Linked DNA regions of Elephas maximus indicus. The protein of the gene in region 2 binds, or shares a complex with, the protein of the main gene of each other region. Links are inferred from orthologs where the notes say so. Each region holds a gene or a part of one and is shown on either strand. Other genes may lie near its edges.

Region 1 (8,021 bases), on a different chromosome or scaffold from region 2:
TCAATTGACACATAAAAGGCATTTGATAAAATCCAACAGCCATTCCTGATAAAAACTCTCAATAAAATAGAAATAGAAGGGAAATTCCTCAACATAATAAAGGGAATTTATACAAAATCAACAACCCACATTATTCTCAACAGGGAGAATCTGAAAGCATTCCCCTTGAGAATGGGAACCAGTAAAGGGTATCCTTTATCACCACTCTTATTCAACACTGTATTGGAAGTCCTAGCAATAAAGTGAGAAAACGAAATAAACCTCCAAATCAGTAAGGGATAAGTAAAACTATCCCTATTGGCAGATAATATGATCCTATACAGGAAACCCTGGTAGCATAAGTGGTTAAGAGCTACGGCTGCTAACCAAAAGGTGGGCAGTTCGAATCCACCAGGCACTCCATGGAAACGATATGGGGCAGTTCTACTTTGTCCGATAGGGTCGCTATGAGTCGGAATTGACTCGACTGCAACAGGTTTGATTTTTGGTTTTATGATCCTATACATAGAAAATCCTAAAGATTTCACAAGAAAGCTACTGGAACTAATAGAAAGATTCAGCAAAGTGGTAGGATAAAAGACCAACATACAAAAATCAGTTAGATTCCTCTACATCAACAAAGAGAACTTTGAAAACGAAATCAGGAAAACAATACCATTTATAATAACCCCCGCCAAAAGATAAAATACTTACGAATAAATCTAACCAGGGACATAAAGACATCTACAAAGAAAACTACAAAACACTACTGCAAGAAAACAAAAGAGACCTACATAAATGGAAAAATACACCATGCCTCTTGGATAGGAAGAGTAAACGTTGTGAAAATGTCAATGCTACACAAAGCGATATACAGATATAATGCAATCCTGATCCAATTCCCAACAGCATTCTTCAGTGAGATGGAAAAACTAATCACTAGCTTTATACAGAATGGAAAGAGACCCTGAATAATAAAGCTTTTCAAAAGAAGAACAAAGTGGGAGATCTCACATTACCTAATTTCAGAACCTACTATACAGCTATGGTAGTTGAAACAGCCTGGTGCTGGGACAACAACATAGACCAATGGAACAGAATTGAGAACGGAGAAGTAAATTCATCCACCTATAGACAGCTCATCTTCGACAAAAGACCAAAGGTTATTGAATGGGAAACAGACGGTCTCTTCAACAAATGGTACTGGCAAAACTGGATATGTATCTGTAGAAAAATGAAACAGGATCCATACCTCACACCATACAGTGAGTAAAATAAGTCAATCGTAAAAAGACAAATATTGTTTGATACTGATTTTATAAAGAAGAAAAGGCTTACACACAGAAAAAAGGAAAGGAAAAGGAAGGAAGGAAGGATGAAAGGGAGGAGGGGAGGGAAGGAGGGAAGGAGGGAGGAAGGAAGGAAGGTAGGTTCTTTTATGGTTACCAGGGATGGTAGAGGGAGGGAGGAAAAATTACCAAAGAGGTAGTAGATGGAAAGATATAGTAGGAACGACTTAACACTGGTGAAGGGAAAAGCAATATATAATATGGGAAAACTCAGCAGAACGTGACCAAAGCAAAAGGGGACACTGAGATGAGCGTGCGAATAAAGGGCAACTACCATAACTACTATAGTATAGACAGTCCTGCAACAATAGTATTAACAATAATTTACATAAACAGCTTTAAATGGAGACAGTTTTGGAGTTGAATCTACTTTTAATACCTTCTCTGACTTCCACCCTGCAAACAGTTGCCACTTTGCAGAGCGTATGCCTGTAGCATGATTATCAAATGGGTGCTATGTACTTTCGAAAAGCATACTCAAATAGTTATATAAAAGGAAAAACAAACCATTTGTTTTTGTATAGAAATTACAGAAAGTAAAGCTTGACAAAGGAGCCCTGACGGCACAGTGGTTAAGTGCTCCGTTGCTAACAGAAAGAATCAGCAGTTTGAACCCACCAGCTGCTCTGCGGGAAAAAGATGTGGCAGTTTGCTTCCATAAAGATTACAGCCTTGGAAACCCTATGAGGCAGTTCTACTCTGTCCTATAGAGTTGCTATGAGTCAGAATCGACTTGATGGCAATGGATGAAGCTTGACAACTTGGTTGCAGGATTTTAAGATTGAGAAGCAGTGTTTCACAGCTACCTTCCTATTCTAATTGTGCTATTACTAATTCAATAGGGTTGGAATTAACTCACAATAAAAGTAAAGAGTGAAAATAAAGATCTGAGAAGCTACTGGAGCTCTGTGATTCAAGGATTTCTCTAGGTATACTAGCATTTTCCACCTAACCTTTGTTCATGCAATCTCTACAGCCCTAGACCGGAATGTCTTGACACTTCCTCTCTGCCCATCCAAATCCTATACAGGGTTTAAAACTCAAATCCTGCAAGATCACACGCTGATTTCCTTCTCTGAATTCAAAGGGCAATTATAATTAAACTATAACAGGAAACTTAATAAGTGATTACGTTCTGCCTAGTATCTTCTACTCGCTTCAGCAGGGAGAAGAGCTAAACATGTATCAACCAGTGTGCCTATTATAATACTCACGTGGAAGCTCAGAAGTCATAGGTGACTATGCTCCAATCCTAGCTCACAGGTGAAGAAATGAGACAGTCAACCTCTTATCTGACCTGACAATGAGTGAAAAAGTTCTCCGTGCTGTTTTAAGGGGCATGGTGGAGTGGATAAGGGTGAGGATTCCGACCTACTCGACTACAAAAAGCAGATTTCCCTAGTCTACCCCATATTCCTGTTCCGAAAAAGCCATCCCTCCTCCGCGACGGTTCCTTTCGCAAGGTGGAAACCACGAAGTCCAAAAGGATATGGTATCACCTTTGCCCTCTGACCTAGGAGTGGAAACTCACCAGTTTCATATTGGACTTCAGGCTGTTCAACAGCAATCACTCGACTCCTCAGACCCAGAATGCGTCTTCCGGTTCAATCTCCGCCACCAACCTGCACAGAGCATTACGGGACAGGCCGTCTCCCACCATCCCACGCCCCAGGAATCATGGGAAATGTAGTCATCCCTAGATGCATCATGGGAACTGTGGTCATATTTTCTTTTTTTCCCTGAACTCCTTCTTCCGTCATCCTCGCCGTCTCTTCATCCTCCCTCTTCACCCCATCATGATATCTTGTCCCCCATATGGGCCTGGGACACATAGTTTTCTGGGAGGTGTAGTCCCGGTGGGTCTGGATTCCCCTTTCTCCTCCTCCCTGTGGGCCGGCTAATGGATGCGGGACTTGCCGGGAGCTGTAGTTCTCCGAGGTGTCTAGATGCGGAGTCCCAAGCTTTTACTCAAGGGAGGCAGGAACTACAACTCCCAGGGCTGCCCGGCGGCAGCAGGTGGGAGCGGGGCTGTTGATATCAATATGGCGGTTGTCAGCCAGACAAAGACAGTCAGTCTGATGTGATTGAGGCAAGGGAGGTTTTCACGGGGAGACTGGGAGATACCGGCCTCCCCTCCTCCCTTTCCTCTTCCTGTGCGGGCCTCAAACCCTCCCCAGCCCCCACCCGCCGGGCTCCCCACGCGGAAGACACCCCTCCCCCTCCCGCTTTCTCCTTCCTATCTCAGCTTTTCGTACTGGGACGTTGGGGAGGGGGCTGTGCCGGGCGGAGAGAACTCAGCGAGGATTCTGAGGTGAGTCGAGCAGTTTGAAACCGGACTACTTCAAGTCTCTTCCCTCACTTGTTTCTCTTTACTTTTAAAATTTTCCCCCAGAGGCTTTGGGGAGAAAGTGAGTGGGATGGGGAAGGGTCTCTTAAGCGGCCGGTTTGAGAGGAGGGAGAAAGCAGGGGCTTCCGAGTAATTGACCTGGACGCAGGATATGGGGTGGGGCAGTTTATAGGGTGCATTAATTGAAAGGCGTCGGCTTCTCCCCAACTCTTTTTTCCTTGTTACCGCCACGGTGGGCGGAAGGTTTGAATCCGGGAGTTGGGGGGGGGGTCTTCTGTTTGGAGTTTGGGAAACTGACGTGATTTTGAGGTGTGTTGGTTTGTATTACTGTGGTTTAAACTGTGTTACGGGTACTTGTGTGATATATTTGTATTGCATAAATGTCTAAAGATAAGAAGTTAGATAGCTAGAAACATAGCTTTTAACGGGGCCTGGGCTGAGTAGCGTGTGTGAGGTCCTGCTCCTGGACGTTTGGCTGACGACGTGGTGCTGGGTAGCTGGGGTTAGCAACTCGTTTGTGTAGGATTGCCCGCTCACACTCCTCTTCCCCGTCTCCGCCCCCTCCTCTGGACGCATCTCCACCCCAAACTCCCGGCAGGAGAATTGTAGAGATGATGTGGTTTGGAGATGGATTTTTGCATACTTAAGTCAGTAGCTAGGTGGGAAAGGAAAAGTGTTCTTAATATTTTATTCCGGAACCGTGTTTTGGTTACACTCTTGGGGCTACTTTGAAAGGAGTCCTCCACCCACCCTCACCCCGAAACAGTAGGTAGAGGTGTCTCGCCGCCTTCGTGTTAAATATATTAATAATTAAGATTTTGGGGCGTGGGGTGGGCATACGGAGTGCTGAATTGTGTATGTGTCTGTGCGTGTCTACTGAAGATACAGAATGATTGTTGTGTATCTTGAGATAGGGCGACTTATTTTCGTGGCAGGAAAAGCTATTGGAAATTATTTGGGGGGCAGCTGAAAGGCGCTGCTTGTATTTTTCTTCTACCCCACCCTATTCTGCCTCGCATTTGCCTGAAAGCTGGTGTGGAAGAGTGAGTGAAGGAAAGAATGCAGTTGGCCTTGAAGATACCGTACTATGTGAAGTTGAATGATATGAAGTAATTGCTGTTTTTATTTACCTTAAAATAGCTTTAAAACCCTCATGTATCACATAGGGTAGAGTGATGTGACCAGTTTATTTCCATGGAATCCTGCAGGTGTAGAAACTCCTTCCTTTCTTCCCTGGCATTTGGATGGACATAATGCCTCCTGAGCCTTTTTATTTAGTTTGTGCCAATATGGTTGTGCTTTTTTGTTGTTTATACTGTAAGAGGCATCACTAGATGAAAAGATTTTGCATTTGTTTTTATTTTGCATTTATGCCACAGGTAATTGCCACGTAAGGATTGCAGTGCTTTGCGTTAAACTTATTTTTAAATTGAGCAACTAAGTTGTTAGATGTAGTTGAATTATGTTTATAAATCAAGTTTGGAAATTTTGAATTCTGAAAAATTTGAATTCTGATTTTTTGTTAGTTTCGTTTAGAGCTGTGAAGGGAAGAGGATTGCAACATCTCTTGTTTCTCAGTCTTTTATATTCAATAACACTACAAAAGGAGAATTTAAGAGCGTTTATTTTGTATTTCCATTTGAAATAGAAGTTCTTTAGTATGCCTTCTTATGTGACTATTTTTTAGTGTAATGGGCTTTTCAATAACCAAAGGAATTGTAATAATTTCTATTTAGACTGTTGAGAATTTAATACATTTACATATGACCCCAAACTTACTGATTCTTAAAACTGCCACCTATCATAAGAGACCCTAGATTCTATAAAAACTGAACTCCACACAGATACAGTATGTAATTTTATGGGATGTTTTATAACCTTTGATTTGAAATTTCTGCAGTTGGTCATTCATGCAGTTAAGCTGATGGACCTGACAAAAAAAATTGATATTTTTTAAATCTCGAATTTATAGTATATGTTGATGCAAAGCTGAGACTTTAGTTTGGTATAGATAGGATTTCCAGAATTATCTGTTTTAACCTTGGATCTTAATGTGAAACATTACTTTGCAAAAACTGAAGAGAAATCCTATATAACTGTATAATAGAGTGTTTTTTTTTTTGTTGTTTTTTCTTTGCTCGAAGATATTCTGGTAGTCATAGAGTTTTAAAATGTTTAATAATTATTTTAGAAAAATACCTCAAATGCTTGTTAAGAGTCAGAAAAATATAAGAATGTTTTCTCTTCCACCTACCGTTAGCTTAGCAATTTTTTGTTGGATTTATTCTTTTTGTTTTTATTCTTTGGAAATGCAAAGTTACGGGAAAAACTTTCATGAAACTTATTCTCACTAGTACTCTGGTTGACATCATTAAATGCAAACTAGATATATTCCTTGCATTCGCTGGAGTGATTCCATTGCATTTTAAGCACTGGGCATTAAGATGATATAAAGCTTTTACTGCAGGTTAAAGCTTAAAACATTCTCAGCATGTGGAAGTCATATGGTTTACAAAAGTAGAAAATCAGGGCATTGGTGCCTGACCAGCTTAAAATTTCATCCCATAACTGTGAAAGACACATTTTATTTTCACGTGATCACTTCTAAAAATGTTGCCTATATTATGGGGAATTGAAAATCCGAACTGTTTTTAACCCAATCTGTTGCTACGTTAGTGTACCGCATGTATTTATGCAACTATTTCTGGTTGCAAATGTGCATCAAAAAGCTGTTAGGGTAAGTTTTATGTTGAATGTCTTCATTAAGGAGTCATTTTCACTGCTGCAGAAACAAATTTCAGTCTTCTATTATTAGCCTACATCACTAATACAAACTTAATAGCACAGTATTGGTAGGTTATAAAATATATTGCAATAAATCTTGCATTGTTTCATAGTGTTTGGCAAGTTTTGATTGGAATGAAATTGTTTATTTCAGTAGTTTTTTAATACATCGGAATAAACCAAAAAAAAAGAAAAAACAAAAAAACCCCAAAACCCACTGCTGTTGAGTCGATTCCAACTCATAGTGACCCTATAGGACAGAGTAGAACTGCCCTACAGAGTTTCCAGGGAGCGCCTGGTAGATTGGAACTGCCGACCTCTTAGTTAGCAACCGTAGTACTTAATCCCTATGCCACCAGGGTTTCCATACATCGGAATACTCATGCTTAACTTGTCATTTTGAGTATTCCTTATTTTAGTTCATCCTACTTTTAATATTTCAGAGAGCTAGCATTTCCCATAAAAGCATGTTTGCTTTTTCTGTTTATTTCATTGCAGCTTTTGCTTCTATTATTTTTGTAAGCAGATCTATAAACTTGAATTTTTTCTCTTGGGAATTAAAAATTTATCCTTGGATGTCATTTTTCAAAAATTCATTTGTCAGTATACCAACCAGTTTTCAAAAATGTGAAAATTTATATAGAAATTTAAAAGTGCTGAGTGAAAATGTATTGGTTTTCTGTGCGTTTTGTGAACCTGTTTTACTTTTTTTGGCTTTCAAAATTAATTTTGTAGCTCACCTTGCTTTTGTTTGACTAGGTTTTTGTTAGCTGTTGGCTTTTGGAAACCCTGATGGCTTAGTGGTTAAGAGCTACCGCTGATAACCGAAAGGTCGGCATTTGGAATGCACCAGGCACTCCTTGGAAACCTTATGGGGCAGTTGTACTCTCTCTGACAGGGTCACTTGTCGGAATCGACTTCGACGGCAATGGTTTTGGTTTTTTTGGCTTTTACGTCTCACTTTAGTAGAGCTTTGATTTATAAAAAAATTGTTATAAGTGGAAAGTACAGCTTGTCTAGAGTGTCTCGTGTACACTCATGCATGCACACACACATATATAAAACACCTTTATGTTTACATATGAAGTTGGTATACATCGATCAGACATGCAGCTGGTAAAAAAGAATCCGAACCACAAACGGCAGGAGACTGAACAGTTGCTCAAGCTAGAAACCGAAGGCTAACCACCCACATGCTGTCCACATTATAGAAACTATGGAGATTTTCAGTATCATTCTCAATGCCAAAATAATGGAAGCAAAATATGTTATTTCAAAATAGAGGCTACTGGTATTGAGATTTTTTTCTTAAAATAGTATCTTAAGTGATATGTGACTTAAGAGTCCTAAGTAAATACAACTGGCCCTTGTTGGACTTGTTCACTTCTATGTGTCAGGCCCTAATTTAAGGCAGCGCTATGTACAACAGGATCAGGCCATTGGGATCCACAGGATTTTCACTGGCAGATTTTTAGAAGTAGATCACCAGGCCTTTCTTCCTAGTCTCTCAGTCTGGAAGCTCTGTGGCAGTCTGTTTAACATCATAGCAACATACAAGCCTC
Region 2 (7,233 bases):
CGGCGATTGTGAGGATGGTGCTGGATCGGGCAGCGTTTCATTCTGTTACGCGTAGGGTTGGTACGAGAGTCAGAGCCGACTCCCCAGCAACTAACACAGAACACACCTCAGTACTGGCTGTCATGGATTGAAACACGTCCCCCAAAAACATGTGTGTCAACTGGGCTAGGCCATGACTCCCAGTACTGTGTGGTTGTCCTCCATTTTTTGATTGTAATTTTATGTTGAGAGGATTAGCGTGGGATTATAACACCACCCTTACTCAGGTCACCTTCCTGATCCAAGGTAAAGGGAGTTTCCCTGGGGTGGGGCCTGTACCACCTTTTATCTCTCAAGAGATAAAAGGAAAGGGAAGCAAGCACAAAGCTGGGGACCTCATGCCACCAAGAAAGCAGCACCAGGAGCAGAGGACATCCTTTGGACACGGGCTCCCTGCGCCTGAGAAGCTCCTCGATCAGGGGAGGATTGAAGACAAGGACCTTCCTGCAGAGCCAATAGAGAGAGAAAGCCCCTGGAGCCAATGCCCTGATTTGGACTTGTAACCTACTAAACTGTGAGGAAATAAATCTCTCTTTGTTAAAGCCATCCACTTGTCATATTTGTTATGGCGGCACAAGATGACTAAGACACTTGCTTTTTTATTTTGTTTTATTTTGAGTGGTCAGCCATTGTGGCCTCTTGAGTCCCCCAACTTTAAATGTCTGAAGGCTTCTGGTCTCCCTGGGAGTTGGCTGAGATGCAGAGGCAGCCAGGGCTTACCTGTACATGCACTTAAAGACCAGTTCAGTAAAAGCACACAACTTAAAGAAAACACTCTTGAATTAAATTCTCTATAAGCACATGCATTTCAGTACTCCTTTGGCTACGTGACTACATAAATCCCCTTCCTCGTAAGTCTTTCTAGCTTACGGGTTCCTTGGTAAACTGATGAATAGAATAAAATTCTTGACATGTGTCTCCTATATTTTGCATTAAGAACCCTGTTTTTAACTTTTTTGAAAATTACTCCTTGATGGGTGTATTACAGGGATCTTCACAGAAGTGACGTTTTACCTGGACTGGTTCCCCCATCTGATTCCCTGTCTTTCAGGACCTCTTCCCTGAACCCCCTGAGTAGGATGGGGGCCTTTAGTAGAACAGTAGTGTTCCCCCAAAATGCCTCAGGCAAAATTTCCTCTATCATTGCTTATGATATTGTTTTTTAAAAGTATGTGTGTTATTTCTGCATTCTGTCTCTTAGAACTTGTTTTTAATTACATAAGTAATGTATGAATGCATTCTACAGGCAGTCCCCTGTTGTTCATAGGGTCGTTACAGGTCAGAACCGACTTAAAGGCTCCTAACAACAACAGATACATTTAAAAAGGGATATAACATTTTAATTTTAAATGTCAGTATTCACAATATCAAAATTTATATTTTTTGTATCTGTTTAAACTTAAGATAAAAAATTTTGATACCAATTTAAAAATGCACAGGAGTGATCAGATTTCCATTCTTGAAAATATTTCTGGCAGCAATCTGGAGAATAAACTGGAGGGGGGAAACTAAAAGGCCACTTGGGAGACGTAAGAGTCCAGATAAGACGGTATTAGGGCCCAACTCAGGGAAATACCGTGGTAAGGAAAGAACAGGTCTAAGATGGAGCGAAGAGGCAGAATCGATGGTGATAGAGAAGACAGGACAGAGTCCAGAGGCTTCACAGAATCTTTTTGAATGTATATAGTAAAGATAGAGGAGTCTTGGATGATTTCAAAGTTTCTGGCTAGGAAGACTGGTTTAAAATAATGAGCCCAATCCCTAAATTAGGTAATACAGCAGGTTTTGGGGAAAACAGTTCAGTTTTGGGCATCTGAGTTTGAGATGATCATGGAACCAAATATCTGGGTGAAGATGTCCACACAGCTTTTATAGGAATGGGTCTAAAGCATAGGGGAGGGAAACTGTAGCAGTGGAAGAGGCCCTGGTTATGACACTGAGCATCTAATAGAGTAAGTGGAAGAAGAAAACGAGCCAAGGATGGAACACTAACACTGAAGGGGTAAGGAAAACAAGACAGTCCTGTAAATTTCAGTGTTTAACGTATAGCAGGAGTCCCTGGGTGGTGCAGTTAACGCGCTTGGCTGCTAATCAAAAGGCTGGTGGTTCGAGCCCACCCAGAGGTGCTTTTGAAAAAAGGCCTGGCGATCTACTTTCAAAAAAGCAGCCGTTAAAACCCTATGGAGCACAGTTCTATTCTGACACACATGGGGTTGCCATGAGGCAGAATCGACCATTCAGCCAGCAACTGGTGGTTAACAGGTAGCAATGAATGAATTCTTGTGAATTGGAGAAAGAAAGGGAGAGGAAGAAGTAGACAGATAGACTGGAGAATTAGGAGAATATTTGTGGCAAGATAGAGGGGCTTGCCTCAGGTCACACAGATAGCAAGGAGAGGAGCTGGAATTAAAACTCAGTCTAACTCCAAAGACAGAGCTCTTCATCACTGTGCTGCCCTACCTACCGATCGTGACACAGAGGTCAGAGAAATTTCTCATGTAAGGTCCTAGGAGAGATAGTAAGCAGGGAATTTAGAAAACAGCCAAAAAAAAATATTTAAGAGGGAAGTTAGTAGGGATGGTATGTAGTGTTAGACTGGTAGCGGGAAGCTGAGGGGCTGCTCCTCAGTCTCCCTCCCAACATCCTTTTCCTAGACCTTCCTCTTAAATACAGAAAGTTCCCTTCTCAGGTTCTTTCCTTTTCGTTTTCCACAGAGTTTCAAGGGGAAGGAAGACCTTCCAGTGTAGTCAACATTAAAATATGTGACATTTAATTTGTCTAAGTCTAGCCTAGGTAGCAACTCCCTTATCAGTTTAAGTTTCATACAGAAAGTTTTAGACACCGAACTCCAAGTTCAAAACTCTTGCTGACAATGTTTTATAAGGAATCGAAAGAGCTGTAGAGAATAAGTTGGATTTCTACATAATATGGAAAGACATCCAAGTTATACCGTTAAAATGAAAAACAAAACATTTTTATCTCATTTCCGTAAATAACAATACATATTACCACTGGCATAAAAAAACACCCAAAATACTATACTTCAACCATCAACAGTGGTCCTCTCTGGGGGATGTTCTGATTACGGAGATCTTTCATTCTATAATTTCGAGTTTTTATGAACATGTAATAATCAGGAAAAAAAAAAAAAAAGACAACTTTTGACCTTCTAGAAGCACATGGTCTAACTTTTCTGCTTGAGCAAGTTCCTTAGCAGCGCGTCCCACTCATTCGTGGATCATCTAGACATCGGTTCTAGGACCAATGGATGAGTTAACGCACACGCGCCGCGCACGTTGTCCAACGCCAGCACCTCAGTTAACGCTGCACACAGCTGTGGGGGGCGCCGCGCACGTTGTCCAACGCCAGCACCTCAGTTAACGCTGCACACAGCTGTGGGGGGCGCCGCGCACGTTGTCCAACGCCAGCACCTCAGTTAACGCTGCACACAGCTGTGGGGGGCGCCGCGCACGTTGTCCAACGCCAGCACCTCAGTTAACGCTGCACACAGCTGTGGGGGGCGCCGCGCACGTTGTCCAACGCCAGCACCTCAGTTAACGCTGCACACAGCTGTGGGGGGCGCCGCGCACGTTGTCCAACGCCAGCACCTCAGTTAACGCGCGCCACAGGCGCGAGGCCGTAAAGCGCCCCGGGGGTCAGTCAGTTAGCTCCCCGCCCCTCCGGCCCGCCCCGAGGCGCTGAAAGCACCTTTCCTCAGCAGCCCGCGCGAAGGCTCTGCTGGCGCCGCGGGACACTCGCCGGGCCCGGGTGTCGTGTTTCGGGGAGGTGACCCCCAGCCACGAGCGGCGGTTAGGACCGTTACTCACCATTTCTCGGGACGCCAAGCTGGGGCTGGCGGAGCACCAAACTGAAGAGCATCTGGGCCAGAGGAAGACGCGCAGTTGAAGAAAAGGCTCTGAAATGCCCTAGGTCCCGCAGAAACCGCAGCCTGCACCCCAAGAACAAGACCAGGCGCTGCCTTCCACTCCCGCCACTGCAGGCTCCAGCCACCAAACTCCGCGCCAAACTGACGTCACGCTCTCTGATTGGCTCCCGCCGTGGCGTCATGGCGCCGCAGAGTCACTTCCCCCTCCGGAGCCCCGCCTCCTCTTCGCCGGTCCGCGGGAACCCAGAATTCAAGAGCCCCTTGAGCGCCTGCGCGGGGGGTCGAAGAGGCGCTGGCGAACCGGGGGATGGCCAGGGCGCATGCGTAACACGGCTTGCCAGCGCGCGGAGGGAAAATCCGCGAGAAGGCGGTGAAGGAAGATGGCGGGGTTGGGGCAGGGTTTGCGGCCTTTCTGAATAGGCTAGTCAAGTAACTATTCAGGTCATGGCGTCAAACTCAACTAAGTCTTTCCTGGCAGATGCCGGCTATGGCGAACAGGAGCTAGATGCGAACTCCGCCCTTATGGAACTGGACAAAGGTATGGGAAGGAGAGGGGGAGCCGGCTGAACGCATGAGAGGGAAGTGGCGCCCCCAGGTGGCGGGAGCCTCGGGAGAGGCGGCGGGAGCGCGTGAGAGGGCAGTGGCGCCCCCAGGTGGCGGGAGCCTCGGGAGAGGCGGCGGGAGCGCGTGAGAGGGCAGTGGCGCCCCCAGGTGGCGGGAGCCTCGGGAGAGGCGGCGGGAGCGCGTGAGAGGGAAGTGGCGCCCCCAGGTGGCGGGAGCCTCGGGAGAGGCGGCGGGAGCGCGTGAGAGGGAAGTGGCGCCCCCAGGTGGCGGGAGCCTCGGGAGAGGCGGCGGGAGCGCGTGAGAGGGCAGTGGCGCCCCCAGGTGGCGGGAGCCTCGGGAGAGGCGGCGGGAGCGCGTGAGAGGGAAGTGGCGCCCCCAGGTGGCGGGAGCCTCGGGAGAGGCGGCGGGAGCGCGTGAGAGGGCAGTGGCGCCCCCAGGTGGCGGGAGCCTCGGGAGAGGCGGCGGGAGCGCGTGAGAGGGAAGTGGCGCCCCCAGGTGGCGGGAGCCTCGGGAGAGGCGGCGGGAGCGCGTGAGAGGGAAGTGGCGCCCCCAGGTGGCGGGAGCCTCGGGAGAGGCGGCGGGAGCGCGTGAGAGGGAAGTGGCGCCCCCAGGTGGCGGGAGCCTCGGGAGAGGCGGCGGGAGCGCGTGAGAGGGAAGTGGCGCCCCCAGGTGGCGGGAGCCTCGGGAGAGGCGGCGGGAGCGCGTGAGAGGGAAGTGGCGCCCCCAGGTGGCGGGAGCCTCGGGAGAGGCGGCGGGAGCGCGTGAGAGGGAAGTGGCGCCCCCAGGTGGCGGGAGCCTCGGGAGAGGCGGCGGGAGCGCGTGAGAGGGAAGTGGCGCCCCCAGGTGGCGGGAGCCTCGGGAGAGGCGGCGGGAGCGGGCCGGGGTGGCCGAGGGCTTCGGCGGCTGGTGGGAACCAGAGGAAGGCTGCAGGGTCGCCCTGTTGGCCTTGACCGCATAGCTGGCTGTCTTACCGGCGAGCTCTCGTCATGGGCATTTTGGCCACTTGAGGGGACGATCCCCTGGTTTTCCAAGCACTGAAAATGGCTCGTTTCTAAAAATGCTAAGGTGAAATTATTTTTTGATATGTTCAGTTGAGCCCAGGTTTTCATGAAGGGTGCCGAAGAATAATCTTGCGCCAGCGCTGTGAAGATTGAGTGGGTCTCCGTAACTCCTTGCTGCGTGCGGGATGCCACGCAGCTTAAACTCGGGAAGGCTTGGTCTCCCCCGTCCCCGCAAACGGGCTCCCCGAGCCGTTTCCTAGGCGACCGGGCGGGGGCGGGCTTCCTAGGGTGGAAGGAGGAGCTTTGGGTGCCCTGAGTTCAAGTTCAGTGCTGCAGGCTTCATCGTCACGGACAGGTACCTTACTTCACCTAGCCTCGGTTTATCGGCGTGGGAAGGGGGTGCAGGTACTAATGAGAAACTTGTTCCACTGCACTTGAGGAATTTTTATTGTGTAGGAAAAGCATATTTTGCAGCTGATACAGTTAATTCTTGATTATCCGCAGCCAGTGTGTAATGTACTGAGAATTGGACCGTGAGTCAGAAGGATCTGCCTGTAAGTCCCCTCTGAGCCGACTTGGACATGTCTATTAACTTCTTTGGAACTCCTTTTTTGATTTTCTTTTCTTGTTTTGCTTGTTCTTTAACCTGTAAACATTTTTAGTAGGTTGACTAGATAAGAGTTTCTCACACTTTTTTTCTCTTTTGGCATTTACCTCCTTTTTATCAATATAAAAACGTCACAACGCCCCAATGGACTGTTCCTTTGCTTGAGTCTCAGTATCTTTATCCATCTTCTCTAGCCAAGAAAATGTTTAGCTTTGCTTTCGATTACCAAAGCTATAAGTCTTTCCCCTGAAATATTAAATTGTAATATTAAACATGTTTTTTAAACACTACACAGTCTTTCCCTCTCCATCCTGATAGGCTTTTCTCCCTTATTCCCCAGTGTGAGTTGTGGGTCTTGTGCTGTCTGATACACAGCTGGCCTTGTCCCATGCTGACAGCAGGACAGTGTTTGTACAGCCGGGATCAGGATGGGGCACTGAAGAAATGAGAAATCTAGAATTATTTAATTTCTGAAAATTTGCAGTTGTGGTAGAAATAACAACTAAATTTTCTCTTAAAGAACAGTTGAAATAGGAATACTTTAGGTCAGTAAGGAATAAGTGGATGGCTACTGACTGTTCAGCTGGAAACCAGATGTCAGCCCTCGATCCTTAGTGTTTATGTTCAGTTCTCCCAGCAGTGCCCTGGGGAGTATTGTACAGATGAATCTCAGACTCAGAAAGATAACTTGTCCAAGATAAGTACAAAACTCTTGTTCTTTTTCACCTCACCATGCTGTACCTTTGAAAGCTGTTAGAAAATTAAACTGCAGAAATAGTTTCATTAGACTATATAGTATTTTAAATATTGAATCATTTCGTTTTTTACCTATTAACAATGTTTTATGTTTTGTGAGCCAAAGGTCATAGTCAGAAGGCTACAAGTTCCAACTTTTTGTTTTCCAGAATGTAGTCCGAGGAATACTGTTTATGAAGTATTTAAAAATCCCTGTCTCTCTCTCTCTCTAACACACGTGCACACACACACATCTTATTTGATCAGCAGTTAACAAATGAAGATCAGTAGACTCATTTTTACATATGACTGAGTGCTATATCTTGTGACTTACAAAGGGAATTATTAAGCATTTCTAAGAGTTGGTATTCACAGGCTGAAATTAGTATTCTAAGAAATGT
Region 3 (7,120 bases), on a different chromosome or scaffold from region 2:
TAACTTGAATCAATGCCCCGAGCCAAGGATTCATCAAGGAGTGCTTTTAGCTTTTCAGCAGAATCCTTACTCTTTGAATGTAAGAAGCCTAGGGCTTTCAAAAAAATTGGATCAAGTTCCAAATTCACAGCAGCAGCCATTGCAAACACCTGCAAAGGGGTAGGGGGAGAGAAAAGGGAAGTAATTTAAAGACAATGCTCAATTACCTATGTCAATATTTTATTTGGTTCTTTTGTTTATAATAGGTAATACTGCATCCGGTACAAAATTCAAAAGAACCCAAAGGTTATTACAGATAAAAGTAGGTTTTCTTCTTCTTCCTGACAGGCATTATTTAGTTCTTTTCCCCTGAAACAACCAGCGTTTTCAGTTTATATCCATGGTGAAATTTTAAATCCAGGTTAGTTCCTCCTTGCCACAAAGGTCCCTTCCTATCTCTGCTTTAAAAGATACACTTCAGTTTCAGTATACATGAACTTGATGTGTTTAGGTCAAGTTTACTATGTATTAAAATTTCTTCTCCCAAATCTTATTTCCATGACAAAAGCAAAGATTTATTGTGTGAATGTGGGGGAGGCAGTGTCACCGCAGGGCAATGGTCAGAGGATGCCTTAAGTTCTGAGCTACAGAGACCACTGCTGCAGCATTTACCTAAATTACCTTTTTAACTTTTTTTTTCTGCCTCCCTAATACTCAGCCCCAATCTTAAATGTCTCAGAAAACATACTAATGATAGCCTTATTTGATCACATTTAGATTGTAGTATTTCATGCATTAACCTGTTTTAAAAAACTAGGTCTTTAGAGGATGGTGCCATGTCTATTAAAAAAAAGTATATACACCCCACAGGGCCTATGATAATGCCCTGTGTCCTAAGGAGCCTAAAGAATAGCCAAGGCAGATGAAGATATACAACAAAGGCTTAGGAAATTCCGAAACATTAAAAAGTTTTGTTTTCAGTTAATACCAATGCTATCATGTGGTTCTACTTCTGGCTGTCATTTTTTCAAACACCTCCCCAGGCAAGGAATTATTAAAATCAAAATGTATTCTTTGTGTTCCACCCTTTGATCAATATACCAGGATTTGAAATCCGTCTTGTATCCTTGAGGTTAATATTATAATAATGCAACACACTTGCACTGCTACAGCTGAGGATCTGTCAGCAATTCCACAGTAATCTCCCATTTTCAGGGGTTTATAAAGCCATTAAAACTTCCTCTAGGTTGAATCTTGGCATAGGAAAGCTCAGCCTGAAAATGGATTTTATTTGTTCCTTCCCCCACTTACTTCCCCCTTCATCTGTCTCCAAGTTTGACAGGAAACACAACACACACAAATACACACTCTCCTAAGCTTCTTTTATTTTATTTTTCAAGTTTCAGTGATGGTATTTGATACCCTACTGCCCCCAAATTGCCCCTGAATCACCCATGAAAAGGAGTTCAAAGGCCGCTACTAGAAAGAAAATAACCTTATCTCAAACAGTTGTATTAGAAAGAGTTTAAAAAAAAATTGAAAAGCAAACTCTGTCACTTCTTAAGATTGTATTATTATGCATACTATCTATATATATGATAGACACAGAAAACTTATTTTTAAATTTACTCATAAGGCTGGTCACCAAACATGTTCTGAGAAGAAAACAGCTCCTCGATAAAATTTCCATGATTAAAAAGGGTAAACCTGCCAATCCTCCGGTGTGTAACAGGGGACAGAGCCTGGTCTTTCTACTGACTTACTTTATATAGCTGAAAGGGACAGTAGTTTACTTATTCACAACAACCTCTCTCATGAAGTACTGACCAAAAGGTTGGTACCTAGAAGAATCCTGGTATACACTAGAACAACCATTACTCGAAATTTCTATGCTAAAAAAACTAAAGCAAAAGATTTATTGTTAGGCTTTTCTACAGTCACAGATAAAAGCTTTATGGTACAGTGTAGGTGTCTAGAGTCATGCACCTAGATTACAAGTCTACAGAAGTCACGCATTACTACCAACATTCCAACTGGAACCTCGGTGTTAGTTCTTTTTATGCAATCCTGGAGTTAGAAAACTGGCCGTGTACCCCATCCTAAACCAATAACATATCCCGCTAGCCTAATGGTCTCCACAGTGGCATACAGGGAGAAAATATTAGAACTTTTATCTATATTTAATTTTTTATTCAAAAAAATTAATATACAAAGTGGTAGTAGTAAATGTAAATATATAAATATGGAAGAGTGCTCACATTTTTTACATGGAGTAAGTTATGAGAAAGGTTTGGTAGTCACTACTCTAGCCTATCTAGCAACTTACAGTTTCACTTTCTCTATTATACATAATGGCTGCTTTAAGGTACAAACTACCTTCCCCTTGCAAGTCCCTCCAATACTCATTCTGTACAACCCTTCATCCTCCTCTCCACACTAATGTCATTGCTAGCTACCCATCAGCTTCTAGCCCTTGCACTATTCCTAACATAGTCCCTTACATTTTCTACTTTTTCCTCAAGCACTCCTTTACTATCCCCCCACGATGACACCACCTCCCTTGCAACCTTCTCCAATAGTTTCTTTGACTTGTTTCTTCTCACAAGAGAAAAAAGAGGTCTACAGAGTCTTTATATTGCTGCTTTCAGAAAAATATTCCATGACCACCATTTAGCAACATCTTCTCTTAAAATCTACGCTTGTATAGAACATTTGCACCAGGCTCCTCTTCCTCTTCCATCATCTTCGACAATTTTAGCATCCATAGTGATCAGCCTCTTCAACTTGTACCTGCACCCACCTTTTCCTCTTCCCTACTTGATAAAAAAGAGAAGGTCCCTCCTCCCCACCTCTCCATGTAATGTCACCTTTGTTCTGGATCCCATCTCTTCATGCCCTCTTTGTAACCTTGAGATATGGATTATTTACTCCATCTTCGTTTCAGTCTCTTTCAACTGGCATCTTTTCACTGACATTTACTGAATAAAGAGATGAAAGTATAATGTTCTTGTCACACTGTTAACACAAATCTAACCATTTCCAACACCTCTCCAGCAAAATGGAACAAAAAATGCAACCTAAACCCAAACCCCCTCCAAACAATAAAAAAAAAAAAAAAAAACCAAGCATCAAAACAAATCAATACCTCTTTCATTACTGAGGATTTGTACAATGTTCCTGACAGCAAAACTCTTGTTCCCATCCTTCACCTGGTCTAAATTCATTAATCCTGCTAGACTATAAGCTCTGTGAGGGCAGGTACTTGTTTAGTTCAGTTAGCAGCATCCCTAGTGCTTGGAGCTTCACAGGTGCTCAAAAATATTTATTAAACAAATGAATTAAGTTTTTACATAAACGTCACTTTTTTTTTTTTTAGGGCTTCTGTGATTTCTCCAATCAAAACTAGGTATCCATGCATAAATATAAAATGTACATATATGCTTTTCCTCTAGATCCTGTTTCTCAGCCTACCTGCCTCATCCCAAAAGAAGTTCCAAAGTTGCTTTCTGAATGTGCACCAGATGAAGGAAACTGAACCTATTCATGCCGAGTGCAGTATTATGGTTGCCATCTCAAAACAGCACTAGAAGCCTTTGCCATTCATGTCTTTGCCATCTCTTGCAACCTTTTTCAAAAACATCCTTCAAAAGATGCTATGTTTTTCATTCCTCCACTGAGTTCTCAGTCCTGGGTCACAATGATACCTAAGGGTCACATCTGGAAAAGCAGGGCAGGCGGTAAGGCCCTGATTCCAAACCTACCAGATGGGACAGGAGCTGGTAAAGCAACAGCAGACACTTAGAAAAGGGATGCCAGTCCTTTGCCCAAAGTATGATACACCAAAGGCCTAGGACGGGGGCAGGTCCTTGACAGGGAGCCAAGAAGAAGAGAGACGAAATGAGGGCGATGTACGGAGGGTCGTCAAAACCTGAGAAAGGTCCGAGATAGGGTTCCAAGGACCTAGTCCTTGGGTTCGAGTCCTCAGTCCGCATGCCCCAGCTCACAACACACTCGGAGAAAGCACAGTCTCCTTGAAAAGGCAGAACGGTGGGCTTGGGGCATGCGACTGCCGGCAAATCACGAGGTTTTCCTTGTCAGGAGGAGGGAAATTAAAAACCCACAGTGCTACTCTCCCACCTCAACCCTCGCGAGGGTCTCGAGCCTCCCACAGGTGGGTGGGAGTGAGGTCGGTCGTCACAACTCACCGTTCCGCCCAGCAGCTCCGTCCGTTCCTGGTAGCTCCTTCGGAACCGGTCCCGGCGCCAGCCGACTCTGAGAGCCGGAAAAGAAAGTTCCTGCAGCAGGGCCGAGGGGGGGACGTTTTGACGGTGCGACAGCAGGAAGTGACGCACCCATTCTTCCGGTCCGCTGGATTATGAATGACGGCTAACGCCGGTATTGCCCAGACGCGTGGCCTGCTGTTTCTTTCTGGGCCCTTGTGGAAGCTAGTGGTTCGCGGGAGGCGGCTCCCAGAAGCGGCCTCCGAATCTCGGCTGGGGCGGGACGGGAAGGCGCAGGCAGCCCGCGTCGCCGGCACGCTCACGCACCCTCCCTGCCTGGCCGCCTCTGCGACCAGGTAAAGAGGGCGCTCGGGCCACCGGCTCCCCAGCCCCCGCGACCCTTCAATGACTGCTCTTGGCGTCGGGGGTCGACAGGGCTGAGGATGCGTGGGAAGGGCGGGAAGGGTGAGGGCGTGGAATCAGTGTCCCGATTTTTCTCCAGCCCCACGGCCGTCTTGGCGTCTTTAGACACGGGTCCTGGGTGTACGGGCGGAGGGCTTCGGGCCCCTTCTCAGTTTTAGGCATTTCCAAGTTTTCCCTGGTCCCATGGTTTCTGCTGGTGGGGAAAAGGAGCAGCTTCCAATTGTAGAAGCTGTATGAGGTCTCTGAGCGTTTGCTTTTAAGTGTAGTTTCAAGGCTTTTGAGATCACGCTTTAACTTTTTCTCTTTGACACTTGGTTTTCCATTTCAGCCCTTCCTGATTGGAGAAAGCAGTGGTATGTGAATACTACTTAACCGTTGCTCCAAAGGACTTGCCTCATTTTGGGCCATTTGCTTATGTTACACCGTCAAAACGGTGTTCTTCTTCTTTTTTTTAACTAAGATAGAAAGCTTGGTTTTAACTTGCGTGAACTTAAAAAAAAATTTTTTTAGCATCAAAGTACAAATATTTCCCATCTCAATTTTCTACCTAGTTTTGGAATTAGGTGACTTTTTTTTTCCCCCTTTATTCTTAATGCTAGGATCCGTTAATGCCATGATCCCTTAGTGCCATGATCCCATCCCTTGTTCTTGAATACCAAGGGATTGCCAGCATTTAATAATATATCTTGGGTTAAATTATTAATAAAGAGAGTAGTGTTCTAATTTTTTTTCCTAAGGTTTTCAATAGAAACTGTTGACAGGAGAAAATGCAAAAGCTGGCAAGAACTAGATACATGACAGTTTAAAACGTGAACATCATTTAAATATTGTGAAAATAAATTCTTTGTTAAAACACAATAACTGAGTGCTTTGCTGTCATATTTAATAAATCAAGCATTAAGCTGTGAGGTTTTTTTTTTGCTTTTTAAACTTTGATGGGGTACATACACTAAGTATTGCTTTTAGCATACTTGTTACTTCCAATTGTGTTGAGTTATACTCAAAAGTATCACTTTAAGATGTCTAACTTCAAAAATAAGTTAAAATATCAAGATTTGAGAGTTGTTTGATCATTGCTTTTGTTTTCTTTACACTTCTACTCCATGTAGTGTTCCCATTAAGTTTTTACTTGGTAGCTTTTGCATCTTCACCTGCAGTTTGAAATAAGTATAAATCCTGTGTATCCAGTTGGCCTTCCTAACAGCAAAGATTTAACAGACCTTGACACTAACAAATTATGGGGCTAGGCAACGGAAATGTTTGTGGTATATAAAAAAGAAAAAAAAAAAAAAAACCCAGTGCCTTGTATATATTGTGGTATATAGTTCCCTGCATATATGTTGTTTTTTATCCTCAAGCATTCGAAGCAGCCTAATGAATTCTGTTATGATTAACACTTGGAATGCAGGGATTTAAAGCTTTTAGATCAAAACAGGCACCAGTATTGCTTGTTGTGGGAATTTAGTAATTTTATTTCAGTCCTGCTGATGCTTCAAACATGTTAGCATTCACAGTGTGGATCTCTTAGTTATGAGGTCGGGCTGAGTGGCAAGCATTATGATACCATGGTAACATGATCCCCTGATTCTCCAGTGAGAAGCTGACACACTTCCCTTATGGCTAAGGTTACTGTAAGCTTTTTACTTTTAAACTTTTTTCTTTAATACTTCTTTTCCACATGAGAAAACATCTAATTTAATCATAGGATTTTGTTCTTGAGGACTTAACTGTCCTCACGTTACATAATGTAATGAGCTCTGAAGAAACTCATTTTTTTTTCCTTTTTCAACTTTTAATGTTTAAAGTAATTTGCTGCTACGTATATCTCTAGGGACAAGGTTTTGTTTTTTTTTTTCAATCTGTATTGTAAGAATGAATGGGATTCTGCAACCAAATAATTAGTGTCATTTTGTGGAATGTATAAAACACAGGTTAAGTTCTTACATTGATAATGCTGAGAGCTTGATATAGGAGGGAATTTAAACCAGTTTAAATTTAAATTTTAATCTGTAGGAAAAATTAACTTATAAAATCTTTATACTTGTAAACTGTGTCAAACTATTTATTTTGTATAATAAAAAAGTATGTGCAGACTAAGGGTTTCACTTTTATATTCTACCATTTGTGACTCCCTGGGTTTTAACCTGAGAACACTTCCCGCCCCCCCCCATATTTGAAAAATGACCCTCTTAGTTCAACATGAATCCTTACCTCTCCTGGGAAGAAGTTTGGAAATATAAAAAGCATAGTTTGGGTTTTGTCCATCAAAAGTTTTTTTTTTTTTTTAATAGTGTTAATGGATTAGGAATTTGGGGATAAATAAATAATAATAGTGATGGAGTTTTCTACTCTGTCACATGGGGTCACTATGATTCGAAAATTGAGTAGATGGCACAACAACTATAACAATAATGAATACTTACTAAGGGCTTCCTATGTCACAGATACTGTTCTCACAAGGCACTGTATGGTAGATAGTGTTATACTCATTTTATATA
Region 4 (7,078 bases), on a different chromosome or scaffold from region 2:
GAAAAGAAAAAATGTACATCTAAGTATACCATGGTGGTGACAGTGCTCTTCACTACGACACAGGAAACTCACTGGGTTTAACAGCCCTTTGTTATGTGTCACATTACATATTCTTCAGTATCTTTTATTTTCCAGGCCAGTGATCTCGTTAAAAAGTTATAATGGACCACCTTGCATTATTCCACAGTGAACCACCATGTGATTTAAAGCTGCATGGAAGTCTTGTCTCATCCTTAAACAGACGAGCTGCAGGTGCAATAGAGGGCTTTAGGGGTTAAGAGTGGGTTCTTTCATTATTTTCCAGACAGCCTCTTTTCCAAGGGTTTATAATAAAAAAAAAAAAATCTCCTTCAATAGTTGCTAATTGTGTATGCTTGAAAAACTGAGAAATCTTAATGTACTCAACCAGGTATTGCACCCCAATGAAAATCTGAGCTTTCAGAATAGTTAAACAATATGGTTAAATTACACCCTGATGCAACACAGAGAACAGTTTCCTAATATTTGTCCTGACTGATACAGAAATGGGGACCACTGACCAGCTGGTGTCTGTAGGCCACTGCAGTGGCTGCACATTCGCCTGCAGCGGTTCGTTACTGAGTATGGTGAGGCAGGAGGTTTCCACTTTAATGTACCAAATGAATTTCAAGGGATTAAAACCACATTCACGACAACTCAATTTTTAGCAAAGGATTCTGGCTCTAATTCTGAATTCAAGTGCGTTTTAAGCAAAAATATGAGGGATACAAAACTATACTGAGTATGTTGAGGGTTTCACATTTGTGTTACGTGCATATATTTTCTTTTAATCTGAAATGTTTCATACTTATATTTTACATATAGGTTTAGGACTGGAATGTGTTTTTCCACAAAAAGAAAAATCAGCTATTTTTCCACCTTAATATTCAACCTACCTGCCCATAGTTGTCTATGCCAGTTACTAATCTATTTAAATTTAATAAATCAAAAGCTGTCCTTAGGGATTGGCCAAGAGTCGTAAGTCCTTCAGCCTGAAGGTTTTTCAGTTCATTCATAAACGTTGCATGGTTTTCTTTCCATCCAGCCTGAAAAGAAAAATGTAAGAATTTTTTTTTTCATCTTTCAAAGCCATGCACACACGGGCAGCCGTTATAATCTGATGCTCGCCAAGTAGCTGCTTCACTTTACAGTACAACATGGTTAACTTGTTTGTTGTGTGTCACTGCTGAGGAAACTCCCCTCCAAAGCTCGCCAGAATAAACCTTCTTGCTCTATAGCTTCTGGTCATTACCAGCTGCCACACTTCACAACTTTACTGGGGAGCTGACTCTCTCACACCCCAAATTTCAGGATGTGAAGGCAGCAGCGCAGAGCAGAGGAAACTGGACTTCTGAAGTCAGCCTACAGCTGTCCCACTAGCCTGTGGCCCTCTCAGGAGCCATCCAGAGCCCCAGCGCCGCAGACCCCCGCTCCCCCACGCCCCAGCCCGAGCCCCGGGCGAGCCGGCGCGGCCGAGCCCCGGGCCGAGCCCCCTTTCATGCGGACGGGGCTGCGCCGCCGGCCCGGCTGTCACTCCGGCTAACTTGAATAAATATCCCCCACAGTTCATTGCTGCCGCTCACGCCGCGGAGGGGAAATGTCGGCCATGTTGATCGCAGCGCCGCCGCCGCCGCCGCCGCCGCGGGCCGGGCCCGGGAGGGGACGGCGATGGCCTGGCGACTCCGCGCCGCGCCGGGACGATCCAGAGCGGGGGAGGGGGTGGGAGCCCTCAGGGGAAGAAGCCTCGGGGCCGGGAGAGCGGCGGGTGGGGGAGGGGAGCATAATGAAGGGTGGACGGGGGGCGGGGAGGGCGAGCGAGGAAGGAACCGGGAAGGGAAGGGAAGGGGGGAGGGCGAGGGCTGTTACCTTGATAGCATAGGGCGGCTCTTCGAAAGTGACCAGCATGTACCTGTCTCCTCTGCTGGCGGGATCCCGGGCACGGAGCTGCGGAGAGCGGACGGGGGACGGGGAGAGGAACAGGGCGGGCGAGAGGGAAGCACAGAGGCGAGGTTACGGGCGGAGAAGGGGCGTCGAGCGGCCCCGCCGCCCCCCCACAGTACCGCACACGCAGCGGCCACCCCTCCACGTCGCCCCCCACACACAGATCGGTCCCCACACACCGCCCGGGGCCGCAACCGGGTCCGGGGCCGCAGCCGGCTCCCGGGCCGAGCCCGGCTCGCAGCGCCCGCCCGCCGCCCGCCGCCCGCCGCCCGCCCGCCCGCGCGGTGGGGGAGGGGGTCCCCGAGGCCGGCAGCTCCCGCAGTCAGGTCCCCGACACCTCCGCCTCGCCGCCCCCAGCCGCCCTCCCCCACCCCTGCCGCCCGCGGACCGCCGGGCCGGGGTCGCCGCCCGGGCTCGGTCAGTCGGTACCTTCATGAAGGTCTCTACCGCGCCTTTGGCCGTGTCCAGGTAGGTGGTGCCCAGATGGCTGCGCTGGTTCATAGAGGCAGACGTGTCTATCAGGAACAGTAAGATGGGCATAGTGCTGGCCGGGGACACCGGGGCCCGAGGTGGTGGAGGAAGACGGTAGGTGTCGGCGCCGGTGGCGGCGACCGCCGCTACGCGGGGCGGGGAGCGCGGCCCCCGGGAGGAAAACACCGTCTGGGTCTTTCCTCCGGCTGCGGGGAGTTTCTCCCCCGATAGTTAAGAGGAAACTCCCCAGACCCAGTCCTCCCCGTCGTACCCCCGCCTCCGCCTCCTCCTGCCTGCCTGCCCGCTGGGCCGGGCTCCCGGCCGTCTGTTTGTCGGTCCGTCCCCCCTACCTCGGGGGTCCCGTCCCCGCTCCCGGCCCCTGTGTGTGTCCCAGCGGGAGACGGGCCTGGCTCCCCACCCCACCCCCGGTGCAGGGAGTGGGGACCTGGGAGCTGGCGAAGGGGGGAGTGGGCTGAGGGGAGATTGGCCCTGGGGCTGTTGGGAGAAGTTTCAGGGACTCCCTCTGCACCCCAGCGGTGTCACCACTTTCTCGGCCCCTCTCGCTACTGAAGCGCTTTTCTCTCTCACACTCCGGTTTTAACTCGGGCAGGGGCTGCAGAGGCTCCGCCCCCTGACACGTCCCCGAGCCACGTGATGCACCGCCCCGCTGTTTTATTGGCTAGCCCCTAACCTTTCATTAGCATATTTAAACAGCTCAGGGGCGGGGGAAGTTCCTAGGCCGGCTCTGGGGACAGTTATTGAGCACGCGCGGAGGCGGGGCGTCGGGTACGCGCGCGAGGGGCGAGCAGGCGGGCGGGCCGACGCGGAGGCGGGCTCCGGGAAGGGGCGGGGACGGACCGCGGAAGGGCCGCGAGGTGGGGGAGGGGGCCGCGTCGGCGCGCGCAGGGCCGCCGCGCTCTTGCGCGTCAGGGCGCCGGCCTGCCCTTGGCTCTTGGAGGTGTTAGGGGTCGGGGAAAGGGAGATGCAGGCTGGCTTCAGCTGCCCTCCGAGGTCGTTGTAGTGAACCCCTTCCCCGGGGGGCGAGTGAGGAGAGGATGAGTAAAGTGCCCGGACACCCGATGAGCACAAGCGTCGGACCCGCGGTCGCCCCCCCGAGGTGGCTCGGGTCCGCGGTCGCCGGAGGAGGTTCCTTGGACCGGGAGGGCCGGCCCCAGCGCGGGCGGGTCCGGAGCGGGGGAGGGGAAGTGAGAGGTTGTTTATGACCAGGGACTGATCTCCGCGAGTCACACCGCTCCCGCTGGGGAGTGGGGACGAGGGCCCGAACCTCGCGCGGAGCCTCCCTCGGCCTGGGGAGCGACCGAGGGCGAGGGCTGGAGCCGGGGCAGGCCGGGCTCCGTCTTGTTGAGGACCCCTCAGAAGGGCAACAAACCCTCTCTCCTAACCCAACCCCGAAAAACCCTGGGAGAAGATTCCGATTTCCGTAGTTCCCCTTTTTACTCGGGAGAAGAATAACTGGGCCTACCCCCAGAATTACATTGCACAAGCCGCGTTTACGTTGGGCCGTAGAATAAATAGCAAAATCTGCATATCAGAATTGAAAAGGACCCCAACGACCGTAATGCATTACCAATATTTTACACGTGAAAAAATTGCCTTTGGCTTGCCGGGATAACACAAAATGGGTTCCCATAACCCTGCTAGTGCTCTTTCAATATGGTGCCCTCTCACGCTTGACCCAAATACCGTAGAGGGAAGAAGTTCTAACGCGAGTCTCTCTCATCCTACCTGAGGTAATGAAGCTTCTCCTAAATGTCCGAGGGATAGTGTCCTCCAAGACACGAGTTGAAACACTGAAGACACTGTCTTAAATGCAAGTTGGATTGGGGACATAGGACCTTCTAAAATGTAGCTATTAATCGGGCCTTTCCTACTAGCCTTGCATTGCCTGAATTTTTTAATTCTATTCCGAAATTCTTATTTGCTTACTGCTCATTTAGAGAAATTGTTGATATTGTTAACCACAGAAGAGATGCTATGTGGCACTTTTAAAAAAATTAAGTTTTATAAATTGGGCTTTTCCTAATCTTTACGACAGCTTCAGAAATCTGTTCATTTATGTTAGAGCTTTTTCAGTAATAATGCTGCTCTGTGATTATGTACCATGGAAGAGGTGTCATATTTTTGAGATTTGAACTGTGAAATAGGAAGAAGATGGAATACAGGCCCTATAGCCAATATTTGCTGAGGACCTACCTTGTACTAGGTGTGCTGGAGATAAAAAGTTAATCAAGTTTGATCCTAGTATAAACTCGATGCCTTCGAGTCTATTCTGACTCAATGTGACCTTATGGTCTTAGTATGGAGAAGATAAGAAATAAATAAAATATGGTCCCTGCCTTCACAGAGTTTATGGTTTTCTAGAAAAAGATGACATACATAAGGCATAAAGTGACTAGATACTAAGTAATTCAGAGAAAAGAAATATATATTGTGGTGATGAAAGAACATTTCCTAGGGTCAGTATGTTTAAGGTGCAACATAAAGAAGTATTTCTGAAACTGGAATCCTAGACCCAGAGATAAGAATTATGTTCTATGATACTTTCAAATTTTTGTTTTCATTTTTTATGACAATATATAAATTACGCGGCCAGTTATAAAGACAATTTTTCTTTCAGAATGATGGACATATTCAGAGTATAGGTCTGTAGTTTCTATTATCAGTGTTTTCAAAGTCTGCAGATCCCTCCCTGCCTGTCTCAAATTGTATCCTCATAAGAGAGGCTTGGTGGTGCAGTGGTTAAGAGCTTGTCTGCTATCCAAAATGTCCGGGATTTATAATCCACCAGCCACTCCTTGGAAACCCTATGAGGCAGTTCTGCTCTGTCTTATGGGTCACTATGAGCTGGAATTGACATGATGGCAACGGGTTTAGTTTGTATTTTTGTTATTTTTTTATAGGATCATAAGAATTTACATTGCATTAATACATTATTCAAGAAGCCCTGGCAGCACAATGGTTAAAGCACTCAATTGCTAACCAAAAAATGGGATATTGGAACCTACCAGCTACTTTGTGGGAGAAAAGACCTACCTGTAAAGATTTCAGCCTGGGAAGCCATGTGGGGGCAGTTACAATATTCAGTATTTTGTATATAGGTTTGAGAAACACTGCTTTAAGGGATCGGTAGGATTTGGGATATATGAGTAGAGGAAGGGGAAGCTGCTGGTAAAAAAAAAAAAAGAAAACCCTTCCAGACATTGAAACCATAGGAAAGAAAGGAAGGCAGGACAGCATTGCTGATGGCTTCGTGGGGACAGTGACGTTTAGCCAGGCTGGAGCACCAGACACAAGAAGAATAGCACAAGATTCAGAAAGGTTGGTCAGGACTAGACAATAAGAGCCTTTATTCCAGACTACGGGATTTTTTTTCTTATAAATGAGAGTTTTTAGTTATAGTGCTAAGTACAAAGCAGTGTTTGAAAGCAACCAAACTGTTATTAGCTGCCGCAGAGTCCGCCACTCATTCACGGCAACCTCACGTGTTAAGAGTAGAACTGCTCCGTAGAGTGTCCTTGGCTGTAAGACCTAACAGCAACAAAATCTCAGAAGCAGATAGGCAGGTCTTTTCTTATGCGAAGGTGCTGGGTAGGTTCAAACTGCCAACTCTTAGGTTACTAGCCAATCTCAAACCACTTGTGCCACCCCAGCTCCTTTGAAATACATTAGCATATATAATTAACTATATTATATAGTTATTTGAAATCATTTTCCAACTGAGCCATCATGGCTCTTTCTTCCCTGACTCAGTAGGGTTGGCTGATTGTCATACTGATCAGGGTCAGATGCAAAGACCAGGAAGCCAAGCCCAGTGAGCCCAACCTGGAGTATATAACCAGAACCTATGTTACAATGAAGCCTGAGATCAAAGGTAGATTTCCAGTCAGAACCTAAGAAGTAATAGAAGGCACAGAACAGGAAAGAAATCAGGGCAAATATATGCTGCAAATGAAGAGGCAATCAGAAACAAGGAAACATTGACAACCTCTCTAGACAAAATTGTGAAATAGCCAAGTTTATTCTTAGTGCTCACTGGTTGACAGGCTATTGGTTGATTATGGCAGAAAGTTGTGTTTTTTTGGTCATGAGATGCACATCATTATCACCCAAAGAGCTTTAAAAAAAAATGTACCAGATCCTCATCCCTGAGGAAAGCGATTCAGTAGAATTTGGGTAAACCCTGGTCATCCTACTTTTAAAGAGCTCTTCAGGTCAATCTTATAAAGAATACTGATTGAAAACTACATGCTTAAAATATAAGAATAATTACGTGCCTGGCATCTAGTAGACACTCAATAAATAACTGAAAAACTCACACACCCTTAAATTTGTTGCCTTTATTAAAAGAACTCCTAAAATAAACAAGTCTGGAAGCTAAAGGAAAGAAATTATAAATGTTTCATATGCTTATTTAAATTACTTGAATTCAACTATATTTGTTTGGCAAAAAATAAAAAGAGAAAAAGAATTTAAACAGTGCCAGAGATTCCCACCATCTCCTCTCCTTAGGCCCTGGAGTGAGCACAAGATGAGAGCCACGAATCTCTTTTTCACTCAGTCTCTGTGATTCTGGAAATATAAAAATACAGAATTTTTCTAAAATGTGACCACTAAGCGCAAGCCAAGT

What was found.
Region 1: INTS7 (region 2) and INTS9 share a complex: the UniProt entries of both Homo sapiens proteins name them as parts of the integrator complex. The link is inferred for Elephas maximus indicus from reciprocal best matches to the Homo sapiens genes INTS7 and INTS9.
Region 3: INTS7 (region 2) and INTS12 share a complex: the UniProt entries of both Homo sapiens proteins name them as parts of the integrator complex. The link is inferred for Elephas maximus indicus from reciprocal best matches to the Homo sapiens genes INTS7 and INTS12.
Region 4: INTS7 (region 2) and INTS6 share a complex: the UniProt entries of both Homo sapiens proteins name them as parts of the integrator complex. The link is inferred for Elephas maximus indicus from reciprocal best matches to the Homo sapiens genes INTS7 and INTS6.

Annotation. Positions count from the first base shown.
Region 1 is NC_064840.1:43,557,957-43,565,977, reverse strand, and holds the start of INTS9 (integrator complex subunit 9), read right to left. Parts: upstream 3,013-8,021; 5' UTR 2,869-3,012; coding exon 2,860-2,868; intron 1-2,859. UniProt on the Homo sapiens protein: Component of the integrator complex, a multiprotein complex that terminates RNA polymerase II (Pol II) transcription in the promoter-proximal region of genes.
Region 2 is NC_064842.1:638,381-645,613, reverse strand, and holds the start of INTS7 (integrator complex subunit 7), read left to right. Parts: upstream 1-4,217; 5' UTR 4,218-4,369; coding exon 4,370-4,463; intron 4,464-7,233. Other genes in the region: DTL (denticleless protein homolog), read right to left, coding at 3,867-3,918. UniProt on the Homo sapiens protein: Component of the integrator complex, a multiprotein complex that terminates RNA polymerase II (Pol II) transcription in the promoter-proximal region of genes.
Region 3 is NC_064823.1:46,026,116-46,033,235, reverse strand, and holds the start of INTS12 (integrator complex subunit 12), read right to left. Parts: upstream 3,021-7,120; 5' UTR 2,865-3,020; coding exon 2,847-2,864; intron 150-2,846; coding exon 1-149. UniProt on the Homo sapiens protein: Component of the integrator complex, a multiprotein complex that terminates RNA polymerase II (Pol II) transcription in the promoter-proximal region of genes.
Region 4 is NC_064832.1:26,247,043-26,254,120, reverse strand, and holds the start of INTS6 (integrator complex subunit 6), read right to left. Parts: upstream 3,014-7,078; 5' UTR 2,500-3,013; coding exon 2,389-2,499; exon of another isoform or gene 2,254-2,388; intron 2,209-2,253; exon of another isoform or gene 2,139-2,208; intron 1,963-2,138; coding exon 1,885-1,962; intron 1,065-1,884; coding exon 915-1,064; intron 1-914. UniProt on the Homo sapiens protein: Component of the integrator complex, a multiprotein complex that terminates RNA polymerase II (Pol II) transcription in the promoter-proximal region of genes.